Linked DNA regions of Cricetulus griseus. The protein of the gene in region 5 interacts with the protein of the main gene of each other region in a pairwise test. Links are inferred from orthologs where the notes say so. Each region holds a gene or a part of one and is shown on either strand. Other genes may lie near its edges.

The links.
Region 1: the proteins of Nme7 (region 5) and Zbtb48 interact in binary tests that used the Homo sapiens proteins (3 or more experiments, as listed by UniProt). The two-hybrid records come from large-scale screens. The link is inferred for Cricetulus griseus from reciprocal best matches to the Homo sapiens genes NME7 and ZBTB48.
Region 2: the proteins of Nme7 (region 5) and Krt18 interact in binary tests that used the Homo sapiens proteins (3 or more experiments, as listed by UniProt). The two-hybrid records come from large-scale screens. The link is inferred for Cricetulus griseus from reciprocal best matches to the Homo sapiens genes NME7 and KRT18.
Region 3: the proteins of Nme7 (region 5) and Cchcr1 interact in binary tests that used the Homo sapiens proteins (3 or more experiments, as listed by UniProt). The link is inferred for Cricetulus griseus from reciprocal best matches to the Homo sapiens genes NME7 and CCHCR1.
Region 4: the proteins of Nme7 (region 5) and CUNH1orf189 interact in binary tests that used the Homo sapiens proteins (3 or more experiments, as listed by UniProt). The two-hybrid records come from large-scale screens. The link is inferred for Cricetulus griseus from reciprocal best matches to the Homo sapiens genes NME7 and CFAP141.
Region 6: the proteins of Nme7 (region 5) and Fkbp6 interact in binary tests that used the Homo sapiens proteins (3 or more experiments, as listed by UniProt). The two-hybrid records come from large-scale screens. The link is inferred for Cricetulus griseus from reciprocal best matches to the Homo sapiens genes NME7 and FKBP6.
Region 7: the proteins of Nme7 (region 5) and Nab2 interact in binary tests that used the Homo sapiens proteins (3 or more experiments, as listed by UniProt). The two-hybrid records come from large-scale screens. The link is inferred for Cricetulus griseus from reciprocal best matches to the Homo sapiens genes NME7 and NAB2.

Annotation. Positions count from the first base shown.
Region 1 is NC_048595.1:4,334,228-4,336,655, reverse strand, and holds part of Zbtb48 (telomere zinc finger-associated protein), read right to left. Parts: intron 1,071-2,428; coding exon 959-1,070; intron 386-958; coding exon 293-385; intron 1-292. UniProt on the Homo sapiens protein: Plays a critical role in transcriptional regulation and chromatin remodeling. Acts as a regulator of telomere length. Directly binds the telomeric double-stranded 5'-TTAGGG-3' repeat.
Region 2 is NC_048595.1:398,416,383-398,420,573, forward strand, and holds the start of Krt18 (keratin, type I cytoskeletal 18), read left to right. Parts: upstream 1-1,391; coding exon 1,392-1,793; intron 1,794-2,506; coding exon 2,507-2,589; intron 2,590-2,884; coding exon 2,885-3,041; intron 3,042-3,639; coding exon 3,640-3,804; intron 3,805-3,891; coding exon 3,892-4,017; intron 4,018-4,191. UniProt on the Homo sapiens protein: Involved in the uptake of thrombin-antithrombin complexes by hepatic cells. When phosphorylated, plays a role in filament reorganization. Involved in the delivery of mutated CFTR to the plasma membrane.
Region 3 is NW_023276806.1:229,456,694-229,460,824, reverse strand, and holds the start of Cchcr1 (coiled-coil alpha-helical rod protein 1), read right to left. Parts: upstream 2,801-4,131; 5' UTR 2,786-2,800; coding exon 2,494-2,785; intron 2,488-2,493; exon of another isoform or gene 2,470-2,487; intron 1,943-2,469; exon of another isoform or gene 1,920-1,942; coding exon 1,768-1,919; intron 1,548-1,767; exon of another isoform or gene 1,483-1,547; coding exon 1,416-1,482; intron 1,200-1,415; coding exon 998-1,199; intron 1-997. Other genes in the region: Tcf19 (transcription factor 19), read left to right, coding at 3,621-3,858. UniProt on the Homo sapiens protein: May be a regulator of keratinocyte proliferation or differentiation.
Region 4 is NW_023276806.1:64,478,668-64,482,780, reverse strand, and holds the start of CUNH1orf189 (uncharacterized protein C1orf189 homolog), read left to right. Parts: upstream 1-1,313; 5' UTR 1,314-2,134; coding exon 2,135-2,211; intron 2,212-3,715; coding exon 3,716-3,845; intron 3,846-4,113. Other genes in the region: C1H1orf43 (protein C1orf43 homolog), read left to right, coding at 399-594. UniProt on the Homo sapiens protein: Microtubule inner protein (MIP) part of the dynein-decorated doublet microtubules (DMTs) in cilia axoneme, which is required for motile cilia beating.
Region 5 is NC_048598.1:27,997,174-28,000,673, forward strand, and holds part of Nme7 (nucleoside diphosphate kinase 7), read right to left. Parts: intron 2,136-3,500; coding exon 1,928-2,135; intron 1-1,927. UniProt on the Homo sapiens protein: Possesses an intrinsic kinase activity. Displays 3'-5' exonuclease activity with a preference for single-stranded DNA. Does not seem to have nucleoside diphosphate kinase activity.
Region 6 is NC_048597.1:114,399,399-114,403,549, forward strand, and holds the start of Fkbp6 (inactive peptidyl-prolyl cis-trans isomerase FKBP6), read right to left. Parts: upstream 2,801-4,151; 5' UTR 2,753-2,800; coding exon 2,696-2,752; intron 2,495-2,695; coding exon 2,377-2,494; intron 1,580-2,376; coding exon 1,490-1,579; intron 1-1,489. UniProt on the Homo sapiens protein: Has an essential role in spermatogenesis. It is required to repress transposable elements and prevent their mobilization, which is essential for the germline integrity.
Region 7 is NW_023276806.1:130,082,124-130,085,630, forward strand, and holds the end of Nab2 (NGFI-A-binding protein 2), read left to right. Parts: intron 1-114; coding exon 115-248; intron 249-529; coding exon 530-581; intron 582-673; coding exon 674-806; intron 807-1,006; coding exon 1,007-1,198; intron 1,199-2,147; coding exon 2,148-2,257; 3' UTR 2,258-3,007; downstream 3,008-3,507. UniProt on the Homo sapiens protein: Acts as a transcriptional repressor for zinc finger transcription factors EGR1 and EGR2. Isoform 2 lacks repression ability.

The DNA.
Region 1 (2,428 bases), on a different chromosome or scaffold from region 5:
CAGCCTCAGCACCCTGCACCATCAGTGCCTTGCTGTCAGGTCATGGTGAAGAAGGGCCTAACCCAAATGCCAGGACAGTCCCCAGTCTGCTGAAGGGGGACTCCCTAGAGGGGCAATGCTCAGCCATCACTCCAGGCCCAGAGAAATGTTGAGCACGGGTGGCTAGAGAAGTGTCCCTGTCTATACGGTGTCACTGGATGGACAAGGGAGGCAGGCTTCGAGGGAGAGGTGCCAGATACCACCCTAGGCAAAGGGACCCACATCCCCACCCAGGCGGTGACCTCGGCCTGACCTTGTAGGGCATTTCCCCCGTGTGAGACACCATGTGCACCCGCAGCTCCATCCTCCTGCGGAAGGTCTCCCGGCACACGGAGCATGTGAAGACCTGGCAGTGTGAGGGGCAAGCAGGGCCAGCATCAGCGAGGGCCTCTGCCTGCGACGGCAGCCTCTGCAGGGGCTTCCACACGCTGCTGGGAAGTGTCTGCCTGGGGTAAGGGATGCTGGGGTAGGAGAGGGCAACATGTAACCTGCCTGCCTTAACCATCACAGAGCACTGTCCACAACCACACACCAGACCCTTCTCATCTCCACACAGGTGGGGGAGGGGGCAGCTGCTACTGTCTCTAGGAAGAGAAGGGTGGGGTTTAGCCAAACACTACCCACCTGTGGCAGGGGGGCATGCAAGGCAGCCCCTCCCAGCAGCCACCCCCACAAACACTTTCCTTGCTCCAAAGCCCAAGATGGAGCTAACCCAAAACATCCCCCCAGGGCTTATCCCCTGTGCCCTCTGAACAAGTGTCCCCTTGTACTAGAATGTGGATGTGATGGCATCCAAGGCCCCTGCAGCTCCTATTTTATAACCCTGTAGCATTTCCTGGGGGTCCTTCCCAGATGGCACGAGGACACAGGTCGGTCACTGGGCTGCTGCCCACAATTACTTGGCCCAATTCCCAAGTACCTGTTCTGAGCGGTTCATGCAATTCCGGGCTTCATGCTCCAAGAGGTTCTCCTTGCGAAAGTAACACTTCCCACATTTGGGACACTCAAAGGGTTTCTCCCCGGTGTGTTTCCTGCCAAGAAGAGAGGCCACAGCGTTGCGGGGGGCCAAGAGGCTGTCCCGCCTCTCGGGCGCTCGGGAGCCCTCCCACTCCTGATACAGACCTATGCTGGGGCATAGGTGTCCTGAGGCCAGCCAGGGCTCACCAAGAAGGCTCAGTGACCCCCAAGTTGGACATGCAGTGGAAAGATCAGAAATCCCCTCCAGTGTAGAGACCCTCAGGAAGAGAAGAAACAGCCATGGCGGGACAGGTGGGGACCGGCAGCCAGCCCTACTTGCACCAGCCTCATTCCATGGGTGCTTTAGAGCTAGCTGACTGGCACAGCCTGGTTGGCACCAACCTCCTCCCTGTGAGCTCCACGTTCAGCCACATGGTAGGCAGGCAGGCAGGCAGGCAGACAGACAGGTGATATGGCTCAGTGCACAAAAGCACTTGGCTGCCAAGCCAGAGGATCCAAGTTCAATCCCTGAGACCCACGTGGTGACAGAAAAACCACTCCCACAAGTTGTGCTCTGACTTCCACCCCCACCCCATGAGTAAATAAATAAACAAATGTAAAACACTATGCCCAGATTCTGCTCCCTTCCTCTCACTGATAGCACACTGGCTGCAGCAGCTCTTGGGGTCCCGTGAGTCACCGCTAGGTCCCTGGCTCCCTACCTGTCTCGCCAGCCAGTTCTACTGACTTCAGAAGCCTTTGGAGATAAGGCAGCCCTCATTACCTCTTGGCTCAGTCCTCCAGTGCTTCCTATTTCACACAAGGAGGACATGGGCGGCCTGAGTGAACTAGCCAGCCCCTCACTGGCCTTGCTCTGAAGTCCTTGTCTGCCCTCACCCCTCACACTAGTCACGCTTACTCCAAGCCCAGGACATTACTGCTAGCTCTGTTCCCAGCAGGAGGCTCTCCCCAGTGAATGGCTTCCTTACCTTTCAGCCTAGGCAGGTGGCAGAAGCCTGTGATGTATCCCAGCTACTTGGTTTAGATCCCACCTGCCCCCAGCACTAGGCTCATGTGTTAGGCAAGTATATTCCCTGCCCATTCCCAGCTACTCCAAGCTAAGGCAGAAGGATCACCAACTCCAGGCCAGCCCAGGTAATTTAGTAAGGCCCATGTCACTGAAAAAGGGCTAGGGATGTAGCTCCGTGGCAGAGGAACACTGCAGATCACGGGGTAGGGGGTAGGCTCCCTGCCTTCTTATAGTCCCCAGGCCACAGTTTTCAGAAACTGACCCTATGCAGTACACTCCAAAACCAATGCCTAGGTCCCACTCTCCTTCTACCCCTCCCTCAAACATGGTCTGACACTCTGTAGCCCCAACTGGCCTGAACCTCACAGGAGGTGCCAAACAGCAGGCATGAGCCAGCAACTT
Region 2 (4,191 bases), on a different chromosome or scaffold from region 5:
GGTCAGAGAGCATTAAGAAGACTGACCAGGAAGGATAGAAGAAAAAGCCCAGGGAGCAGGAGGAGGGGGAGGTTCGGGCAGGTGGCAGGGGTCGGGATAATAGAGGTGTAGGCAATCAGGTTCAAACCTAACAGGGTGTTTCTATGCATCCCTGCCTGCCTTCTGAAACCCCAACCTCTTCAGACACAGTATAGTCTGTAGGAGAGACAGTGGTCTCTTTTCCCTGCTGTTCCAATGGCTACTAGAAAGGGCATGACACACAATAGGTGTCCAGCAAATACTGGTTAAATTGTAGGTGCTCTTGGGCTGGCTGTGTACTCAGCTAGCAGAGTGCTTATGTCGAATATGAGGTCTTGGGTTTGATCCTCTGCACCCGATATACCTGGGTGTGATATCTCATGCCTGTGATCCCAGCACTTGAAAAGTAGGGACAGGAGGATCAGGAGCTAAAGGTCCTCCTTGACAACATAGAAAATTCAAGACCATCCTGGGCTACATGAGACCCTGTCTGTGCACTCAAGCCACCAGGGACTGAGTGAGGAAATGTGTTCCTGTGTGTTTACGAATATATTTCCACATTTGACAATATATATTTTCATAGTTCCCTTTGGACACATGCTTAGCAGTGGACAGAGCCAAAGCACTGACTGGGAACCAGTGCCTTGGGACCAGAGTGTGAAAACTAAGAGACCTGCGCATCTTATTTCTCTTCCTCTTTTTATTTATTTATTAATTATTAATTTATTAATTATTATTTACTAATTTTTACCACATTGGTGTTTTGCCTGCATGTCTGCATGAGTGTGTCAGGTACCCTGGAACTGGAGGTACAGAGAATTGTGAACTGCCATGTGGGTGCTGGGAATTGAACCCAGGTCCTCTTACAAGAGCAACCAGTGTTCTTAACCGCTGAACCGTATCTCCAGCCCCTCTCTTCCTCTTCTTGAGCTCCCAACTTTTCTTCCCCAGGACTCCTGGGGACTCCAGGACTCTCCCCCTACTTAAATTCTAAGGACACTCTATAAAAATCTTTGCCCTAGTGGACACCTATTTATGAGACCCGTATTAGAAAAGCCATTTCCTTCTCTAAAAGCAAAATCTCAAGGGCTAACACCACCTGTTATCCTTGGTGGCCCGGATTAGTCACCCCCTTCCTGGAGCGGTGAGGGTGGCAGGGCAGTGTTGGTGTAAGAAAACCAAAAAAGGGTGCGACCAGGTAAGTCACAGGAATCGCCTGCTCCTGGCGCCTGCGGCTCCGGTGGCGGGGGCGGGGCCTGCAGAGGATGTCCCCACCTCCTCCCTCAGCGATATAACAGGCCGAGGGCTGCCACTCTCCACGACCGTCCAAACTCCTGTCCCGGTCTCTCGCTTCGCTCTCATTTCCAGAAAACATGAGCTTCACCACCCGCTCCACCACCTTTTCCACCAACTACCGGTCCCTGGGCTCTGTGCGGACGCCCAGCCAAAGGGTCCGGCCTGCCAGCAGCGCGGCCAGCGTCTATGCAGGTGCTGGGGGCTCGGGTTCCCGAATCTCTGTGTCCCGCTCTACAAACGTCTGGGGTGGCTCCGTGGGGTCTGCAGGCCTGGTTGGAATGGGTGGCATCCAGACCGAGAAGGAGACCATGCAGGACCTGAACGACCGCCTGGCCAGCTACCTGGACAGGGTGAAGAGCCTAGAGACTGAAAACAGGAGATTGGAGAGCAAAATCCGGGAACATCTAGAAAAGAAGGGGTCCCAGGGCGTCAGAGACTGGGGCCACTATTTCAAGACCATCGAGGACCTGAGGGCTCAGGTAAGGGGCATGAGGGGAGGAGCCCTCGTTCCCAGACATTGTGGTCATCCAGTGCCCCCACCCCATCCCCACCCCCCAAAACAACTTCAATAGGGTGTGGGTGGTTGACTAGTTCCATTCCACATCCATCCCATTTCCCCACTCTACAGGAATACTTTGGATTCCCACCCACAACCTAGGAATTCCAAGCGTGGTGCCTACACACTGGAGTTCGCTTCCCCCAAAGGGTGTAGTGGGAAGGGAACAGGAATAAGAGCCCCGCAGAAAAAAAGGGGGGCATAATGTGGACCCAGACACTCACTTCTTTTTCAGTGGGGACAGTTACAGGGTTAAGCGGATGTAGCTAAGGCTGAGTCATCCAGAAGTAAACAGGAGCCTACCTGTGGGAGGGGCCAGTCAAGGGGGTGGGGGGCCCAGAACAAGAGGTTAGCTCGCAGGTGCACCGGGCGAAATTGCCAGGAGAGAGCTGCTCGTTTGCAGGCAGGCGGGATAGTGCAGGCCCAGACAGAGGGGCAAGGTGCCAGGATCTAAGAGTCCATGAAGGGAGAGGCTGCACAGGTGGAAAGGGAGATGGGAACGCTAGCCTCTGGCAGTTCCGGGCCTGGGATGCATTCAGTGAAACAGAAGACACATCCGCATTCCCGATCCTGCCCCTACCCACCCATCATTTGACCTGGTACTCTCACAGAGACCCTCTGCTTTAATCCACCCAGATCTTTGCAAATTCCGTGGACAATGCCCGCATCGTGTTGCAGATCGACAATGCTCGACTCGCTGCCGATGACTTCAGGGTCAAGTAAGTCTGGGGCTACAACTAGAGTTAAGAGTGGTCTACTCCAGGGGCTGTGTTAGGGTGGGGTTTCCTTTCCGAGGCTTATTCAGGTTAGGGTCCTTTGAGTGGTCATTTAACTGTTCATTCATGCAGCCCAGTTTAAGCATTACTGCTCCTGGCAGCCAAGAACAGTGCTGAGGAAATGATGCCTGACTCAGGTGACTGGTTTGTGATGGGCCTAAGGCTAGGCTAGGGAGGTGGCTCTGGTTGGGAAGGCTCTAGATCAGATGGGGTCCACTGATCACTTCCACTCCTTCAGGTATGAGACAGAACTGGCCATGAGACAGTCTGTGGAAAGCGACATCCATGGACTCCGAAAGGTGGTGGATGACACCAACATCACAAGGCTGCAGCTCGAGACAGAAATTGAAGCCCTCAAGGAAGAGCTGCTATTCATGAAGAAGAATCACGAGGAGGCAAGTGGGGCTACTGACTAGGCCTGGGAGCCAAGACTTAGATGGGCAAGGCTGCCCCCAAAATCAGCCTTGCATGGAAATTTAGAGCCACCAGCCTGGGCTGCTAGCCTGTTTTGATTAAGAGCAAAAGAGCTCACCCAAGTTAGCCTACATTATCTTGACCTCATAATAGTATAAAGTCTAGCTTGCAGCCCTACCACTGGAAAGCTGAGGCAGGAGGATTGATTTCAATGCCAGCCTGTGTAAATAAGGGGAGATGGAGACAAAGGTAGAGATTGCCAGTCTTAGGAGCTGGTAGGGCTTCTGGAAGAAGTTTAAGGTAAAGTTATGTGGGGGGAGGAGGGGATAAGATGCAGAGAGGAAATTATCTCTGAGTGGCAGGTTCAGGCAGTGAAGAAGTGGCATTCCTACCCGTCTGGAGCAGAAGCCCAGATTTGCTAAGTGCAAGTCCAGGATCTCCTTCCCTTTCTTCCCTCATTATGCTCATCATTGCCTTCTAGAAAAGGCCATCTAGAAAAGTGATGAAGGGCTGGGTTGGGACTCTGACCTTCAGTGCCCCCTCTTAGGTACCCCCTCCCCTTGTTTCTGCCTTCTTCAGGAAGTCAAAGGACTGGAAGCCCAGATTGCCAGCTCTGGACTGACTGTGGAAGTGGATGCCCCCAAATCTCAGGATCTCAGCAAGATCATGGCTGACATCCGGGCCCAGTATGAGGAGCTGGCTCAGAAGAACCGTGAGGAACTGGACAAGTACTGGTCCCAGCAGGTATGCAAGAGGAAAGGCTGGTTGTCAGGGTGTGAGGAGGAGGCTGCCAACGAAGGCTGGTCTTGACTGACCCTCCCCGCACTACAGATTGAGGAGAGTACCACAGTAGTCACCACCCAGTCTGCTGAAATCAGAGATGCCGAGACCACACTCACAGACCTGAGGCGCACCTTCCAGGCCTTGGAGATCGACCTGGATGCCATGAAAAATCAGGTGAGAGTCCCACAGTCACCTGCTGCAGTTCCTCTGGATCCAAACCTCTGATATGTGGCCTCAGCCCCAGCTGTCTGTCCCTCTTCCTCCTCCTGACAGAATCAAGGGATTCCCTAAACTGAAGCACTTCTCTTTCTATTTCCCATTACTCCCACACTGGAGCCTAGTACTTAG
Region 3 (4,131 bases), on a different chromosome or scaffold from region 5:
CTTTTTTGTTTTGTTTTGTTTTTTTCCCCAGACAGGATTCTCTCTATGTAGCCCTGGCTGTCAGGGAATTCACTCTGTAGACCAGGGAGGGAGTGGCCTTGAACTCAGATCTGCCTGCTTGTCTGCCTCTCTGGGATTAAAGGCAGGCCATGCCCGGCTCAAAAATAAAATCTTAAACCACATATGCCGAGCATAGCCAGCTCCAGTGGTGTATGCCGGGAAAGGCCCTTTTAACTAAGAGCCAGCATGTCACTTCGTTTCACAATGGCTTCTGGGCAATCCATCTCCTCCCTCAGACATTTACACTCCTTCTTTATTGTTAACTATATGTTTTTACTTGATAACTGTTTTTGTTATATATAATTTTACTATGTTAAAGTAAAAGTAAACCCTTCTTTTTATTTAGACAGAAAAGAGGAGATGATGGGGGATGCCCTTCAGTATATATGTTTCTTTTATTGGTTGATGAATAAAACACTGTTTGGCCAAAAGAGGCAGGAAGATAGGTGGGGCAGGGAGACAGGGAGAACCCTGGGAGAGATGCAGGGAGGAGATGCCATGTAGCTGCCAAAGGAGTAACAGGTCTGGGCATTTTCTGGTAAGCCAAGACCACGTGGAAATACATAGATTTATAGAAGTGGGTTAATGATGAAGAGAGAGCTAGCCACCAAGAAGCCCTAGCCATTGGCCAACTGTTTTATAACTAATATAGTGTCTGTGTGTTTATTTGGGGCTGAAGCGGTGGCAGGACCTGGAGGAAAAGAAACTCTAGCAACACTTGTTAATTGGGAATTTAAGTCCAGAGCGCGCGCTCTCTCTCTCTCTCTCTCCTCTCTCTTGATTTTCTCCAGGGCATAATGGTATATGCAGTGTAGGTACCAACAATGGCCTACAGAAAACCACACAAGTTATGGAACCCAGGGCTGCTGAAATAAAGGAATGTGTGTATAAAGGATCATTAGCAAGTCTGAGAAAAAGGTGATTGACAGATCCCTACCTGCCTCTCTGCCCTGGCCCCTGCCCATCTCCATAGACATCCTGTTCCCTCATGGTCACTGTGGGCCTCTGAGAGTCCAGCTGCCGCCTCTCTAGGACATCTTGGTCAAATGTGGATTGGAACTGGGGAATGTCTGAAGCCCAGGTCGGGGCCATTCTCGGCCGAGCTTGGAAGTGGGAGGGAGGAACCAGTCCAGCAAAACCTGAGGGGGTGGGTCACAAGAGTAAAGACTGTCAGTTTCTCAGAGAGAGAGAGGAAGACGGAGGGAGGGAGGGAGGGAGGGAGGGAGGGAGGGGGAGGGAGGAAGGGAAGGAGAGAGAGAGGGAGAGAAAGAGAGGAGAGGGAGGGAGAGAGGGAGAAAGACAGAGGCAGAGAGACACAGAGAGACTTCCCAGCCTCCTTGATTGGCCTTACTGACCTGAGGGAGACAACATCTCCACTCTATCTGAAGCCTCTCGATCTTGTCCGCAAGAGTGTAGGTTCCCCTGGACAGTAGGAGAAACAAGGAGACTCCAGTTCAGTTTTCAGGCCACCTTCCAAAGAGGAAGTCCTATAATAACAAAGCCACAATCCTTCAGTTACTGACAGATCTGCCCAGCTCTGAGCTTCTCTCTCCCTACTTCCCTAACAAGGCAGACTTGCTTGTCCCGAACACACGCTCCTGACAAAGGAACCAGGCAACAATCATGGGGTAAATGTACCGAGATGGGGGCCAGGGGATGCTCTTGGGGATTTTGCTTCTACTACAGGATTGTGAGTGGTGCCTTTACCTTCCTCCTTAAGTGTCTACGATCCCTGTAGCTCTGGTCTGGAGGTGAGCGGGCCTGTTGTGAACCCCGTCTCCACAGTTCTCGCCATGGTATGGTAGGGACGTTGGGAAACCCATCTAGGCACCACCGCGCCATGATTTCTGGGTCATTTCCTACAAAAGCGTTAGCCCAAGGCCTGGCACCAGAAGAATGGGGCCTCATGTAGGGTTAAGCGGCTTCCCTAGGATCCCCAGGGAATGCAAGCAGCCTGGAGCGCGTTGCCAGGCAGCCAGCTTCCTGTTATCTCATCGGAGTCTCCCTGCAGCGGGCCTCAGTTTCTCTCTATCCCCTCTGCTTCCATTCCCGAAGCCCTTCGCTGCTCAGAGTCCTGCAGCATCTTCTTTGTCCAACTCCCGTCCGAACTCAAATTTTTTGTTTGTTTGTTTGTTTTCCACTCAACGAGATCCCTACACGCTTCTCTTCCTAGTCCTACTCTGCATTTTTCTTGACGTTATGGTCCCGGTCGCTCGCTGTCCTCAGGTCTGCCCTCTCCTCTCCTGCACACACCCACGGGCTCATCCCCCTCACTAGGACCCTGAGCTGTAAGGCTGCCCCGACCTCCTCATCTGTTCTTTCACCGGGCTCCTGCACCCCTCCTGCCCTGTGGACCCCCTCCACCCTCCTGAGCACCCCCTCTCAGGCCCCTTTCCGCCCCCAACCAACCGACTCCGGCCGAACGCTCCTTACCCAGCGCGAGGTCCGCCTTCTTGCCACGCCCCTTAGCCCCTGGCTTCCCCGCTAGGCTTCCCGCCCTGAGCACGCATGCGCGCGGCGGGTGGGGTTGGCGGGATGCTCTAAAGCCCCAACTCGCCCCGCCTGCCGGAAGGAGGAAGGAAGAAGAACGGCGCACGCAGGCACACTGACTCCTCCAGGCCTTCTCCGCGCCCTGGCGGCCCCGCCCCATCCCGGGAACCCGGGAAACCTGCAGGCCAATCAGAAACGGCGGAGGGCGGGAGATGGACGGCCCCTCCCTGCGCATCGTCCAGTACAGCGGAGGAGGGCGAGTCAGATGGCCAATCAGAGACAGCCTGGGGAGGGGCGCGGGCTCGCAGGCGCGAAGCTGGACCCGGGAATTCCGTAGGAGGAGTCTGCGCGGTGCGCGCCCGCCGGCTCGCCCGCTCGCCCGCCCGAGCCGCGCCCTCCGGAGGGCGGCTTCCTGGCTGTCAAACCGCAGCGGGAGCGAGGGGCACAGGGTGTGGAGTCCTTCTTCGGGGCACCCCGCAAGCGCAAGAGGAGAGGGTGAGCTCCACCTTGTTGCAGAGTTAGGGACCTGTCTGCGCCGCCCTTTGTGGGTGACAGCGGATTCCCTTCCCTCGGGGCAGGACAGAAGGGGTGCTCTACCTGGATTAGGAAGTTTGACCTGTAGGCTTCCCTCCCGGCTCCTGCTTACACTCGAGGGGACACGTTCGTGTCGCACGCACGTCCGTGTAGCGGGACCTCCTCACCCCGCTGGGGTGTCCCCAGCTGCCGCTTAAAGTAGCTTTGCCTTGAACAGATTGCTACAGCCTCCCCGGATATTCTGCGGCCTGAGGACCCGGCATCACGGAGGTCCCACAGGACGTCTTCCTGGTTTTGCATCGCGAAAGGGCTTCTCCGGAATTGCTTTTGAAGTCTCATCTTGACAGCCGCTAGCTACAGCGGTTGCATGCGTGTCCAGGCCTCTGGCGCTCTTGGAAATCTGTGTTTCTCAAGTTGGCATTACCCACAGTGGGGCTGCTGACGTCAGACAACTGAACCGAAGCCCCCGGTGCATGGCCTGGGAGTAGGAGAGGTGATGAACTGCTGAGAAGCGGTGCAGAGGGGAGCACCCCCCCATGCTGCCCTGCTTCCAGCTGCTGCGCATAGGGGGCGGCAGGGGCGGTGATCTCTACACCTTCCACCCCCCGTCCAGGTCAGGCTGCACCTATCGGTTGGGCTGCAGGGCTGACCTGTGTGATGTGGCCCTGCGGCCCCAGCAGGAGCCGGGCCTCATCTCTGGGGTCCATGCATTGCTGCACGCTGAGCTCCAAGGGGACGACTGGCGGGTCAGCCTGGAGGACCACAGCAGTCAAGGTAAGCGGTGAGCAGGCAGCCCCAGGATGGCATGAGTAGGGGAGCCTCTGGGACTCCATACCTGCCTCCCAGAGTCCCTGTCAATCTCTGGTAGAGCAGACAAGCAGGATCCGGTTTGATCTGCCCATGAGAGCTGTGCAGGACTAACCTGCCCGGCTGCTTTAGCTCACACAGGGCTAGGAGGGAGGCGCTGGGGTGTCATCAGTAAAGTGGACATTCTAGCACTATGCTCACACTTGACTCAAGTGTCCAGGGTTGCTGAACCTCCTTGTT
Region 4 (4,113 bases), on a different chromosome or scaffold from region 5:
TGCGCACATACAAGCATTGGGGAGGGGGGTGTGCGCACATGCGCGCATGGTCATGCACTCTTGAGTGTGTAACGAACGGATAGGCAGACTGGCGTTGAATTTGTGATGATATTTCTGTCTCCTGGAATTACAGGTGTGTGCTGTACCTTGCTTAGTACCTTGCTTAGTAACTGGTAAACTACATAAGAGATCATCTTAGCTTCATTTATGGGGTGAATTTTAAGATTTATTTTTTAGTTATGTGTAAGTATATGCAGAGGTTCTGGCCTGGTGCTAGTTACAGACACCTGACATGGTTGCCAGGAAGTGAACTCTGGTACTCTGGAGTAGCAGTATGTGCTTTGCAGCCCCTTTTCTGCTAGTTCTCATTTTGTTCATGTCTTCTGTGTATTCTTCAGGGTCAAAGCACGAATTGGGAGCTCTCAGAGACAGCACCAATCAGCAGCCAAAGACCTAACTCAGTCACCTGAAATGTCGCCAACAACCATCCAGGTCACATATCTCCCCTCCAGTCAGAAGAGCAAACGTCCTAAGCACTTCCTTGAGCTGAAGAGCTTTAAGGACAACTATAACACATTGGAGAGTACTCTGTGATGGAGCTGCAGATGCTAACTGTGCAGTCTTCGAGCTATCTGACTCTGCGGGCGGGCCCAGACTTACCAGCCAATGCTTCCATTGAAGCCAGAGTTCCTACAGAGCTGTGTCTGAAAGGTCATTCCCCAGCCCTTTCTTAGAGGCGTTTTCAAATATTGGCTAAGACATTATTATCTCCCAGTAGCCCTTTTTCTGGATTTGAATTCAAATGACATTAATGTTTGTGTCAAAGCCTCCTTGAAGATCTTTACTTGTTTTTGGCTGTAATTCACTTACCTTGTGCAATGCTATTTAGTCCCAAAGTGTAAATTGAGATGTCTTCTATGTCTACCCTGTTGCACTCAGTTGAATAGAAATATTTGGATTTAGAGCATCTCAGGTTTGATTGATGGAAAGGCCCAGCAGTTCCTCATGAGGAAGCGGGAGGGAGGAAGTGGGTGGAATGTCCTCTGGAATTTTGGTGCTCCATTTAAACCAGGTATATTAAGACATGAACATGACTTTCCTGAAGTGGAAGGATCTGTCCTGCCTTCACCCAATACTGTTTTGACAATTAAAAAGGAATGTTCTGGCACTTCCACATAACCTATGCCAAGATGGTAAGACAGCATGAAGTGGTTTTCTCTAATGTCAGCATATTAGTCTCAGTTTACAAATATATTTAATAAAATTAATTTAAAAAAATTTTTTTTCTTCTTTTGGAGACAAGGTTTCTCTGTGTAGCACTGACTGCCCTGGAACTAGCTTTGTAGACCAGGTTGGCCTCAAATTCACGTAGATCTACTTGCCTCTGCCTCTAATGCTAGGATTAAAGGAGAGTGCCACCACCTCCAACAATGAATCCTTTCTTTAGAATGGGCTTTAGAACAACAGACATTTGATGTGTGTCTGCATTTCCCTTACAGAACATAGGGTGTGAAGCTTTGCCGCCAGAAACTGGTTGGACTGTGTATCTGGATCTAGACATTGCAGGTAGTCTGAAATTCTGAAATAGGGACTGTGTCGCTCATCCTCATAGCCTAGCCTTGTCACTAATAGAAAGCTGGAGAACCAGGATTCCCTTTAGGTTGCCAGGGCAACAGGCCAAGTAGCCAGTCAACTCCCAGGACCAGGGTCATTGTTGGATGCCTAAATGTTACTATGACTACTGAAACCTTGGTGACCAAACTAAACAGAAAGGAGAGCCTTCCCAGTGGCCTCAGAAAATCAACCATGTCTATAGATATGTCTACGGAAAAAATGACAAAAGTAGAAGAGGTATGCAGAGTTGGAAGGAGGGTTGGAAGTTGGATGAGTTTCCCTTGACGTGGTTTCCAGGTGGGTTTACCCAAAGTACAGCATTCCTGAGAAAGGCTTGGTAGAATGCAGGAGAGTTAGCAAAAACAAGAAACCACTTTTGGAACAGGAGTTGTTCACAAATGTCCCACTCTGACCCCTGTATATTCTTTTCTGTCTGTTCTGAGAAATGTAGAGCTTTCCCACTTCCCCCTAGGAAACTACTTCATTCATCAAACATAGGTACTATGCTCAGATTCTAGTAATGAAGGCAAATGAACAGAACTCACTTCTGTTGCAGAATTTGCAAAGAGACGCGGCACTTCAGAAGATGGTCAACAGGTAATCTGTGTTTCCATCTCCTCCCATCAGTTTGTCTTTTCGACTCTCCACTCCCTGAGCCACCACCCAAATCAGCTCTCCTTGGGGACTCAAGAAAGAAAACATGAAGCAAACGGGGCAGCCTTGTTCTCGGAGTAACCGGAGATGAGCATGTTAATGCCTACTGGATGACCCTGTTTGTTTCTATGCCCACTTCCCAAGCTTTTCAGGAAAGGCACAAGTGTTTGTTCTGCCTTTCTTTTTTCTTTCTTTCTTTCTTTCTTTCTTTCTTTCTTTCTTTCTTTCTTTCTCTCTGCCTCCCTCTCTCTCTCTCTTTCTCCCTCTCTCTCTCTTTCTCCCTCTTTCTCTCCTCTTTCTCTCTTCTCTCTCTCTCTCTCTCTCTCTCTCTCTCTCTCTCTCTCTCTCTCTCTCTCTCTCCCCCTTCCTTTCTCTTTCTTTCTTTTTAAACATACTTGCCTGGCTTTGTACTAATTAAATAGCAGGTATTTCAATAGATGTTGGACAACTGACACAATACCCAGAAGATTGAACCTCATATTTCACCAGCTAAGATTTTAGTTTTGGTGCATTTGGGTATTGAATCCAGGGCTTTGTGCATGGAGGTGTTTTACCACCAGCTATACCTCCAACCCTGAGCATTTTTAAAAAAATGCTGGCAGAAGCAGGGCATGGGGGCTCATACCTATAATCCCAGTACTTGGATGAGCATGAATCTAAGGCCAACCTAGGTTACAGTGTGATTGATACACTCTCAAAAAGCCCCAAAGGGAGGCCCAATATGGTGGGTGGTATATGCTTTTAATCTCAACACTAGAGAGGGCAGAGACAGGTGGATCTCTTGAGTTTGAGCTCATACTAGTCTACATAATTCCAGGGAATCAGGGTTATATAGTGAGACATTCTTAGTGAGAGAGGTAGTTGGTGGTGGCACAGGCAGTTCACTGGTAGATTGCTTGCCTAGCATGCACAGAACCTTGGACTTAATCTCCCAGCATTCAGGAGATACAGATAGAGGCAACAGAAGTTCAAGTTTAGCTACATAGTGAGTTGGAGGCCAGTATGGGCTACATGAAACTGTCTTTTTTTAAAAAGGTAGATGGGCTGTGGTGGCACACGCCTTTAATCCCATCACTGTGGAGGCAGAGGCAGAGGCAGGCAGATCTCTGAGTTGGAAGCCAGCCAGAACTACACAGAGAAACCCTGTCTTGAAAAACAGAAGGTAAAGGTTAGGAACAATGAACTGAGACCCAATTCTTAATGACCTAGGTGACACAACTTTGCATTTCCTTTTGTGTGCACTGTAACAGCTGACAGCTCTGCCTCTTGTCCATGATACAATTTAGTAACAGTGCACTTACACTTAAGTCAGTTCTAGCTACCCTTTCAAGAACTTTGCAGTCTTCTGGCAGTGACAGAGGTTCTGTCACAAAGCAACCACATTAGTAAGGATTTGTCTCTACCCTAACTCTCACCCACTTAATCCCCACCCCTAACCCTGGGACAGGTGGAAGAATTCACATACTCACTGTATGTGGCAGATGACATTGAGTCACCGGAGAGACCTGTATGCTACCCTAAGGATGCAGGATGATATGGAACAGGAATTAGTAATGGCCAACAAACAGCTGCTGATGGTGAGTTTTAGTAGGGCAACTCTACTCTCTCTACTCCCCTGCCAGCTGGCGTAGCAAGCTCTTCTATCATGACTTAACCATATTGTTTGCCTCTGAGACTTCTCATGATTTTTATCAGAATGTTAATATCAAATGTCAAAGCTCTTTCAATAAGTGATTTTTTAAAAATTTTTGCATTATTTGCAGATGGCACTCCTTGTTTAGTTTTGGGTTTAATGAAGCTTTGTTTTCTTGGGTTCTTTGGGTTGGGTTGGGTTTTGTTTGAGTT
Region 5 (3,500 bases):
AAACAGAAAAATTAATGTTTAGGAGTCTGAGAACCACAGCTAATTAACAATAGTTCTATTATAAATCAAAATGAGCAACGTATTTTGGCCTGATTCACACAGTGGCTATTGCTTTGCCTACAGCTCATTAAATCAAGAAGTTAGCTAGCAATCTGAATGAACCAAAGATGTTCATACTAATCAATTCTTTTAGTTACTTAAATGCTGTCCCTGAGCTTTCAGCACTATTCTTTCCACTATATTCTCCATAAAAATCTCTGTTCCATGCTCCAAAACATCTGCCAGTGAGCACAGAACTATCTAACTATCCTCTAGAAAGATTTTCCACGCTCCCAATCAGCGCCATGCATTCATCACAGCTGTGACTTGTCAGCAACCAAATTATAAATTTGAAGAAAAGAACCAACTTGCAGAGCTTAGTAGCTTCCAAAACACCTAAAACAAAACCTGCCTCAGAGTTAGTATTTTCTTTTCCCTGAATTTATAATTGAAAGAGCAAGTCTACCGTTTGGGAAGCAGAGGCAGGAGGCTCACTGCTAGTACAAGTCCGCCGGGCCTATACAGTGAGTTCCAGGTCAATATGGCTACATGGTGAGACCCTGACTCAAATTTACAATAAAATAAATCAAAGCTATACTAATGAACTTTCATACTCTATAGTGTACATTAAATTATATAGAATAATAGGCTTCATGGGATATTTTCATAGAGGTCCAACACACCCTGTGATGCTTTCTAGTTCCTTATTAACTCCTTACTCTTTTATCTTCTCCGCCCTCTTCTCTAACGGCCTCCCTTCTATTCTGATGTGCAAATATTTCTTTAAACCAGAAGCAAGAGGGAGGAGGAGAACTTACTCAAATACTGTATATTTCAGTGAGTCTGTTGGCAGGACATTATAAAAGAATAATTAACTTTTATTACTAATAGTAATTAACTATTACTATTGACTATTAACCTGCTTTTTGTCACTATAAGCCGATCTTTATAATTTTATATAAATTCATCCATTATTTTTTCTATCTTCTTTCACTCAAAAAATATTTTGAGATTCACTCCCTGTAATCAATCCTTCCTTCCTTTTTACAATAATATGCCATGTGTGACTACAGCATGGCTTGTTCATTTTGTTCATCTACTGGACATTTGTGATATCTCTAGTTTGGGCTATTACAAATAAGCTGTTACAAACACTCAAATTCAATCTTCTATTGAAGCCGCTCACAGGATAATTCTCACTATTATTTTGTTGTTGTTGTTAAGACCTAGATTTCATTCTTTCTTTTAAAGAAAGAAACTTTTTTGCTTTGAAATTTTTTATCAATCTGTCTGGCTGTCTATTTGTACATGCATGGCCAGAGGCCAGAGAACAACTTACAGAATTCTCACCTTCCACCACAGGGGTCCCAGTTAACAAACTCAGGGTACCAGGTGTTGATACAAGCACCTTTACCCACTAAGCCATCCTGCTGTCCCGAGACTTCTTGCATCTTCACACATACGTTCCATGTATTTCTAGTGTTTCTCCTAGACTCCTACTTAGCTAATAACAGTGCATGATCTAAATTACAGACTACTCCAATGAAGGTTCTTTAGGAATATCTACTACATATCAGTAAACTAGGATTCCTAATTGAATTCAGTCACAAACATGAGACTCAGCATTTATGCCTTTACAGAAAGAAGCGTGGCAACAAACGGCAGACTTGGAGAAAACTGCACTCCACTGTGACCAACACAACTAATTTAAAAAGGAGATGAGGCTTTGAACCGATACTTGATCCTAGGAAAATGTCAAAAGTTGTTTGCCACTACTACATCAGCTTTTTAAATTTTCCCAAAGTCCTCAGTGGGAGAAATATTTTATTCTGACATAAAACAATTTTCCAAACAAAACAGGAGAAAAATATTTCTCAAAACAACTTACTCTGGCAGCAGATGCAAAAGAATCAGGGCCATGAGCCGCGTTTCTTATGCTATCTGTCCCAAAGACGGCTCTGATGCTTCCGGGGGCATCTGTATGAGCTAGGTTAGAGTTTGCGGGTCCAAGCAATCTTTTCCACTCACAGATCGCATCATCTTTTAAAATCTCCATGGCAATAACAGGCCCACTTGTAATAAACTGGATCACTTCGCTAGGAAACAGGGAAAAGTCTGAATTACTTCTCTACTCTGTCAATCTAGACACCTGCCTTAACAATGAAGATACGGTTGAACATTAGTAATTTCAGGGACTAGAGTTTCTGGGCACAGTGAAGTGAATATGGGCAGTGCAAAACCCTCATCTCATGACTGGAGCTTTACATGGATCTAGTTTGCTACAAAATCATTACAGAACTTTTGTCAGGTTCACTACTGTTTGCAAAGGGAAAGCTTGTTGAATTCTGGCATTTCACTAACTTGAAGTGCATATTGTTGATCTAAGCTTTTCCTATTATTCTAAGGACAAAAGTGATTCCCTTCTTATTTACATACGGTTTACTGTGGTAGGTAGAATTTTACAATAACAAAATAATGAGCATGACATTTTGTAACATTTTCTATGCAGAGAATGACAACTCTAAACCAATGTGAGAAAGAAAAAGAATGGCACCAGGCCTTCAAACACTAGCCTCTTATTAGGAGAAAACTACTCTGGGTTATGATACACTAAATGATCAACCATACACACAGGACTTCATTAAAAGTTTATGTCTTAGTACCAGCTCCCTGGGAAGGAAAACTGACACTTAATTTTATTTTTCCATTTCTTCATGTACAGAAGGCAGCAATGATAAATTTCACTTGAAATAAGTGACATGCCAGGCAAAATAGAGAAAGGACAGGACTTTCTCAGAGAAAGGAAGACAGCGTAACAGGCTATGACCCTGACTGCTTTATACACTCCCTTCCCACCCCTTCATTAATCAACCCTTTTCACTTTAGAAAAACATTTCCAAGAAGTAACAACTAGAAGGAAGTATCTATACACACTATGTTAAGAGGACACGATATTCTTTTTTTTTAATTTATTTTTTTTATTATGTATACAACATTCTGCTTCCATGTATGTCTCTGCACACCAGAAGAGGGCACCAGATCTCATTACAGATGGTTGTGAGCCACCTGCTGGGAATTGAACTCAGGACCTTTGGAAGAGCAGGCAGTGTTCTTAACCACTGAGCCATCTCTCCAGCCCCGAGGACACAGAATTCTTAAACATACTGCTACATCTTAGCAGCCAAAACCAAATACAGAAAGGAAGTACGAAGGGAGAGAGGGAGGAAGGGAGGGAACAGTTACCTACTTAATAAGCATTTAATTATCATGCAATATATATATATATATAGCCATAAAATAGGATCCAACCCTGAGAATTTTATAATGAGTGTGGCATATAACAATTGAGGGGTGGGGCTACTGCGAGGACATGGATCCTGAGCTGACTTCAGTTACTTCAGCTGGGCTCTGATTGTCTTCCCAATGTCAGACTACCAGTTCATTCATTCAGTTATTCAAAC
Region 6 (4,151 bases), on a different chromosome or scaffold from region 5:
TTCCTTTATTTTTATGTATTTATGTATATGTACCACATTCATACAGTGCCCTCAGAGACCAGAGAGGGCATCAGATCTCCAGGAACTGGAGTTCTAGATAGTTGTAAGCCACCATGTGGGTGCTGTAAATTGAACCCAGTCTGCTGTAAAAGCAGTCAGTACTCAACCTCTGAGGCATCTCTCCATTCCCCTAGATCTTATTCAAACCTCAGGACTCTCATCTCAAGCCTTCTTTTTCATGTAGTGCCTGTGGCCCTGCCAGCAGGAAGGTGACTATAATTTCATTAAGCAGACCTTCATGTTTCATTCAATTCTATGAGTTAGTTTCTGGATTAAAGGCCAACCTCCCCCCACTCTAGTGAGGTCCACAGGGATGGGGTTCTCATCTGAGCATGGCCTCTGAAGATATGTGTGTTCGGGGACTGGAGCAATGGCCCAGAGGTTAAGAGCACTGGCTGTTCTTCAGAGGTCCTGAGTTCAATTCCCAGCCACCACATGGTGGCTCACAACCATCAGTAATATGTTCCAGTGCCCTTTCCTAGTATTCAGGGCACGCACATATGCAGGGAGAATGCTATACACAGATTAAATAATTCAAAAAGATATGTGTGTTGTGTATGCACTCTCATGTGGATGCTAGGGAAGAATCTCAGCTGTCATTCCTCAGGTGGCATCTACCTTGTTTTCTGAGACAGGAACTCTCATTGTTCTTGAGTCTGCTAAGTAGGCTAGGCTGGCTGGCCATAGAGCTCCAGGGATCCATTTGTTTCTGCCTCCCCTGCACTGAGATTTATAAGCACACACTATCACATCTGGTCTTTGTTTTCTAGACATGGGTTCTGTGGGATGGAAAGCAGGTCCTCATGGTTGCACGGCAAGCACTTTACTGACTGAGCCATTCTCTCAGATCCTACAATGTCTTATTTCACCACACATGTTGGGGAGTTAAGTATTTACTACATTTATTTCATAAATGCACAAGGAAAAGTGCCCAGAGGATCCAGGTATAAGGCTCATGTTTATCATTTATTTCATCACTCCAGAGCTGGGGCAGGTGGCTTTTGAATTCAAGGTCAGTGTGTGATGTACAGTGAAATTCTGTCTTACTTGGGAGGCAGAGGCAGGAAGATCTCTGTAAGTTCGAGGCCATCCTGGTCTACAGAGCAAGTTCCAGGACAACAAGCAATACAGAGAAACCCTGTCTTGAAAAACCAAAAAAAAAAAAAAAAAAAAAAAGACACAAAAAAAAAGAAAAGAAGGAAGGAAGGAAAGAAGGAAGAAAGACAACAGTTCCCATTGGGTAACTTGGATGCCAAGATAACCTTACCAGGTAAGCTATCACCCAAAAATCAAGTCCCAAGTAGAAAAGTGACAGACAACCTGGTGCCTCCTGAAATCCAAACTCAGCTACCAACTATACGAACCTGTCCACTGGACACTGTGACAATCCTAAAACACATCATGTTTTTATTTGCCTAGATGACCTTACCTTCTCCAAGTTTCATCAGCCGAGGTGTTTTCCTAAAGCAATTAGAGTCAAAAGGCTTGTCCATGTGCTCTAGGTATCCAGAATATTTCACTAGGGCAGAGGGGGAAAAGCACAAGTGTGAAGAAAACATTCCAAAGACACTCTTAGAGCCATCATAGCAATACCACAGGGACACACCGAAATAAGCAGGGTATGGTGGTACATGTCTATAATCCCAGCACTCGGGAGCAGAGGCAGGCAGATGTGAGTTTGAGGCCAGCCTGGTCTACTGAGCAAGTTCCAGGACAGCCAGGGCAGTTACAAAGAGAAACCTTGTCTCAAAAAACAAACAAAAAAAGCAAAAAACAAAAGAATGCTATAAACCAACCAGATTGGTGCACATGGTTGTGATTCCAACACTTGGGAAGTAGAGGAAGGAAGGATCAGGACTTCAAGGTTACTAAATTACAGGAGGTTGGAATTCGGTCTGAGGTAATTTTGTCACCATGTTTCAGAAACCAAACAAAAAAATCAGACTGGGGATGTAACTCGTTGGCAGAGGGTTTGCCTACCATGCACGATGCCCTGGGTTCTGTTCCTAGCATCACATAAAATGTAGTCCTGCCCACCTGTAATTACAACACTTGAAAGAGACTGAGACTTTCTTCAGCTACACAGGCAGCTAAGAGGTCAGTCCGGGTCGGGCGGTGGTGGGAGGCAGAGGCAGGAGAATCTCTTGTGAGTTCGAGACCAACCTGGTCTACAAGAGGGAGTTCCAAGATAGGCTCCGAAGCCACAGAGAAACCCTGTCTCGAAAAACCAAACAAACAAGAAAAAGCAAAAAACAAAAACAAAACCTTAAGCCATAGTTTCCCAAGGGCAAACAGCCAGCCCAGTGGCCTCCATACCCAGCACGGAAGCATCGGGAGTTACGGTGTCGCCAGCGCCCTCTCGGATGATGTCCTTCAGCACACCTCGGTCCCCAGAAATGTCCAACATCCGTTGACTCAGTCGCTCATAGGGAGACTGGAGGGAGAGAGAAGCGCAGGCCTCAGGGACGGGGCCGCCTGGCTGGCCTCCCCCGGGCCACTGCCCGCTCTCCGCCCTCACCTGGCCCAGGACTTCGTCCCCTTCTAGGCCTCCGGGGCCGCGGGTGCTGCCGCCCATGGCCGCGCTCCGGGTGCTGCCCAGCTCGTGCTACCAGGTTCCCCGACCCCCGCTCCGTACCTGGCAGTCGTCGCGCGACGGCGGGATTCCGTTCCTGAGGCGCGAGAAGACGCTCATCTTGCCGCTCAACCGTCGCCAAACGCCTCCCAGGAAGCAACGCCTGGGTTTGAGGCGCGGGCGTGTGCTGCGCACGAGAAATACACGTGGCCCAGGCCGTGCGCATGCGCGGAGGCGCCTCCGGCGTGCACTGCACACGTGACATAGGACGCAAAGCATGATGGGGAACCTGAAGGGTTGCGCCTGCCGCCCGCAGCCGGAAGGCCGGAAGGCCTTTTTTTAGGTCTCTGCTGGCCACGAAATTAGCGACTGAGAGCCACACCTGCTTCTAATCTCAGGGCTGAATGGATAGATGTTCAAGAACTATTTTTGTGTGATGCTGAGGATTGGATGTAGTCAAGATTAGACAAGTGATCTGACCCTCAATAGCGTCTGCAGCCTCCAAACGGGGGGCTCTGTGTAGACGACCCAGCCCTTCACTGAGGAGTCTCGGCGGGCTCTGCTGCTGCTGAGCTATGCCCTCAACCCGAAACCTGACTTTTTCTTTTCTTTTCTTTTTTTCTTTTTGTTTTTTGAGACAGGGTTTCTCTGAGTATTAGCCCTGGCTGTCCTGGAACTCACTCTGTAGACCAGGCTGGCCTCAAACTCAAAGAGATCTGCCTGCTTCTGCCTCCCGAGTCCTGGGAGTCAAGCTGTGTGCCACCACAGCTTGCTCCAAGATTTCAAATTTTATTTTATTTTTATTATTTTTTGGAGGGGGAGAGGACAAGGTTTCTCTGTGTAGCGTTGGCTGTCCTAGATCTCTGTAGACCAAGCTGGCCTAGAATTCACAGAGACCCACCTGCCTCTGCCTCCCAAGTGCTGCCACCACCGCCTGGCTGAAATTTCAGATTTTAAAAGTTCATAATTTAGAAATAACATTTATGGAAAGGAGTCTGATGTCAAATAGTACAATGAGTGTGACTGTTTTCACATCAGTTTCACAAACAGACCCCATGGACTGGCTAAAGATGGAATTCAGTGGTAGAGTGTGCTTGCAGCATGCTCTAGATTCTGGTTGGCATGAAACAAACAAGGCCAGGCAAGATGGCCAAGTGTGTCTATAGTGCTTGCCACCAACCCTGACAACCAGGATCCACAGGTGGAAGGAGAGAATGGACTATTGCAAGTTATCCTCTGCCCTCCCCATGTGCCTGCAAGCAGTAAGTGTTAAGTAAAATAATAAAGACTGCTAGCGTCCCATTTCCTACCCTTACCTGGCCCAGGATTTTGTCCGCTCCCAGGATAGTCACCATCTTGATTGGGAGCCTGGCCTGGTAGGAGACAAGGGACTGGCATTGGTAATGCTCTACAACTTGATCTTTTGCTTTGCTTTTGAGATCATCGCAGAAGGCCCAAGATGGCTTTGAACTTGTTGTGTAGCTGAAAATGAACTTGAACTTCTGGCCTCCCATCAGCA
Region 7 (3,507 bases), on a different chromosome or scaffold from region 5:
CCTGGGTTTTATTTAAAGCTAGCATCCCTTGGATGGGCTCCCCCTCCCCCCTGGCGGTGAAGGGGTGAAACAGTAGGAGAATCGGCATTCACACTGGCTGTCCTCTTGCCACAGCTGACCATCAACGAGGCTGCTGCCCAGTTCTGCATGAGGGACAACACACTTTTACTTCGAAGGGTAGAACTCTTCTCATTGTCCCGCCAAGTAGCCCGAGAGAGCACCTATCTTTCCTCCTTGAAGGGATCCAGGTGAGACCCCCCCCCCTTCCCTGGGCCACCTTTGGTTGGAATCCTGCCAGAGTTGGACATCTCCTCACTTGCAGCTCAGGCAATTCCAGGCCTGCTTCCCACCTACCTGCATGTCTTCCTCTTGCCAAGTCAACTTGTCCGAGGCCTGCTCTTCACTCCCAACCCCCCACAATAATGACTGGAGATGCCTATCCAACCAGCCTCTTGGAGTTTTCCTGGCCAGATTGTGTTCCCTGTGCATCCTGGAGCCCTCCCTAACCCTGCTTTCCCTATTCTCCTAGGCTTCACTCTGAAGAGTTAGGAGGCCCACCACTGAAGAAACTGAAACAAGAGGTGTGGCTTGGGGCTTAATGGGACAGGGCAGGATAGCCTACCCTGACCACTGCTTTGCTAGGTCCTCATTTCCCAATTTTGTGCATCCACAGGTTGGGGAACAGAGTCATACCGAAATCCAGCAGCCTCCCCCAGGCCCCGAGTCCTATGCACCCCCATACCGCCCCAGCCTAGAGGAGGACAGCGCCAGTCTGTCTGGGGAGAGCCTAGATGGCCACTTGCAGGGTGAGTGCATTACTGTCTGCTTTGGGAGGAGGTGGGAGTGGGCGGGTGGGTTACAGGAGTGAGCCAGGAGTCAACTGCCTGGAGCAGGGCTGGGAGGTCTGGCTGGATGGGGACAGAAGAGCCTATGGGAATGACTTGTCGGTTGAGGGTGGGTACCGTTGGCGGCAGCCCCCTGACCTGACCAGTGCCCATGCCCACAGCTGTGGGGTCGTGCCCAAGGCTGACGCCGCCCCCTGCTGACCTGCCCCTGGCATTGCCAGCGCATGGGCTATGGAGCCGCCACATCCTGCAGCAGACACTGATGGATGAGGGGCTGCGGCTCGCCCGCCTCGTCTCCCATGATCGCGTGGGCCGCCTCAGCCCCTGTGTGCCTGCGAAGCCGCCTCTCGCAGGTGAGGCAGCCAGCAGTGCTGTCCCTAAACACCCCAGGCCCACACAGGGTCCTTCTTTTGTAGGACCAGAGGGGAGGAAGAGGGATCCCATACCACTGTCAGGCGCTCCAGCTAGTCAGACCTTGAACAGGGGCAAGCTACTGCTGGGTTGTTTACGATGGGTAGGGTCTGGGCCAGGTGGGGATCGTTGACATGGGGGAGCAGGGAACAGAATGAGGTGTGAAGGTGAACAGTAGAATCAGGAGTAAGGGAAGCCTGGCTAGAACTGCCTAATGCCGGGGTGTGGAGTCGCGGGGAGTTGTGGGGATAGGGTTCCCCAGCTTGGAAGCCAAGGAGCCCAGAGCTGGGCGCTTTTGTGTGTGGATAGGAAAGGAGTAGGCCGGCAGAGGGCCGGGCAGCCGCTGGGCTGAGAGTGACGCAGCAGACAAAGCCACCAACCCTGGCTTGGTATTTTTAAACTCTGCGTGGGTGGGGGAGTGGGGGCGGGGACTGGAGGGGGGGCTTTTCTTGAGGGAGAAGCTGGGAGTCTAGCTTCCTGTGTTTCCCCTGATTTGGCTACCAAAAACTCGGGGGGGGGGCACTTGTAGGGTAGGTGGGCCTGGGAGGGGGGCCAGAGATGAGTGGGGGCGGCTGGGGAGGGGGAGGGGGAGAGGTCAGAGCCAAGCCGCCCCCGCAGCTCCTGACAGAACCAGAAATTCCAGCAAGAGCAGAGGCGGGCGAGACAGAGAAAGAGAGAGACACACAGAGACAGAGAGCTACACACAACCAAAACAGGAGGGGAGCTGCATACACTTGGTCATGGAACCCCCGTGCACACACAGTGGGCAGGAGGCTGTAATTGAGTAACAGGAGCAATCTTCACATTTTTCTGTGCTGGCCTCACTCAGAACAGCTAGCTCTTCAGCTCAGCCTCCATCCTTGTCTCCTAACCCACACCTTTTTCCTACAGAATTCGAGGAAGGCTTGCTGGACCGATGCCCGGCCCCAGGACCTCATCCCGCTCTGGTGGAGGGTCGTAGGAGCAGTGTGAAAGTGGAGGCCGAAGCCAGCCGGCAGTGAGAGTGGGGATGTCTCAGGCCCAGGACCCAGACTTCTGGCTCACTCAGACCCCCATATTCTCCATCCTTGAACTCTAGTCACCACCCTAGAAGGATCCTTCTGCTGCCCTTCTGCCACCCATCTGCCCCATGGGCACAGGACTATGGGGCTTCAAGCAATAACAAGCAGGGGCCTGGCCAGAGGACACTAGGAGGGTGCAAGGTGCGCCCTCACCCGGCTCAGGGGCATGGACTTTGCCTACAGCCTGCTGGGGCTCTCCCTACACACACACAGACACACACACACAGACACACACACACTCTCCCTCTCTCTCTCCAATCGGCGGCCACCAGTGGTATGAACAGGCTGGGATCAGCTTGGATGTGGGGGAAAGAACTTCCTGAGAAGGTCTAGCAGTTGAAAATGGCTCTGTTCGCCCTGATACTGGGGTCTCCTGGAAAACTGGATCTCCCCATCCCCATTTTTTTTTTGTGCTTCTAGTCTGTTTCTTTTAATTTAACAAGTGCTGCGGTTTGCCCACCCATCCTCATCACCCCCCCTCCCAGCAGTTCGTTCTTGTACTGTGTGTGAGGGCTCCCCACAGTTCCCTCCACCAGCCTCTTAGAGGCCTGGGTTAGACCCTGGGTCTCCTCAGTCCAGCAGGAGGACTGCAGCACCTGTCAAACTCTTAGAGTGTCTTTCTTTTCAGATTGTGTACAGTAGATTATTTATTTTGTTATTTTGGAATAAAATTTATTTTATGGCTTAGGATCCATGATCCCCCCTCCCCCTAGGGAGGGAAAAGGGGACGGCATGAGGTGTGAATGGAGAGAAGCCGGCAGTGGATGGGAAAAATAAAAGAGCAGGTGGGGCCACCAGCGCCCAGGGCGTTACACAGCGAGGCCTGTACCCCCCTATTCAGTCCTCAGGCTCTAGAAAACACAGGAAGCATGGAGTCACCAAGGCTATAGCTATATGCATGTCACAGCCAGGTAGTTATGCCCAAAATGACATTGGGTTACTCTGAGCCTTTCAAATATGTGTTGTCACACAGGCAAAAGCAGAGATACGTGTCCTGTGTGGTCATATAGTGAGTGTGTGACATCTGTAGGTTAACATGTCTCAGGTAAACATTGGTACAGCTACACACACAAAGAAGCCTAGCTCTTGTGAGGCTCACTCTCAACTGTCACAGAGCCTCTTTTTGGCAAGAATTTGGAGCTTTGGAGGAACTTGGTTTTTAATCATTACCAGTAACCATATGCCTACAC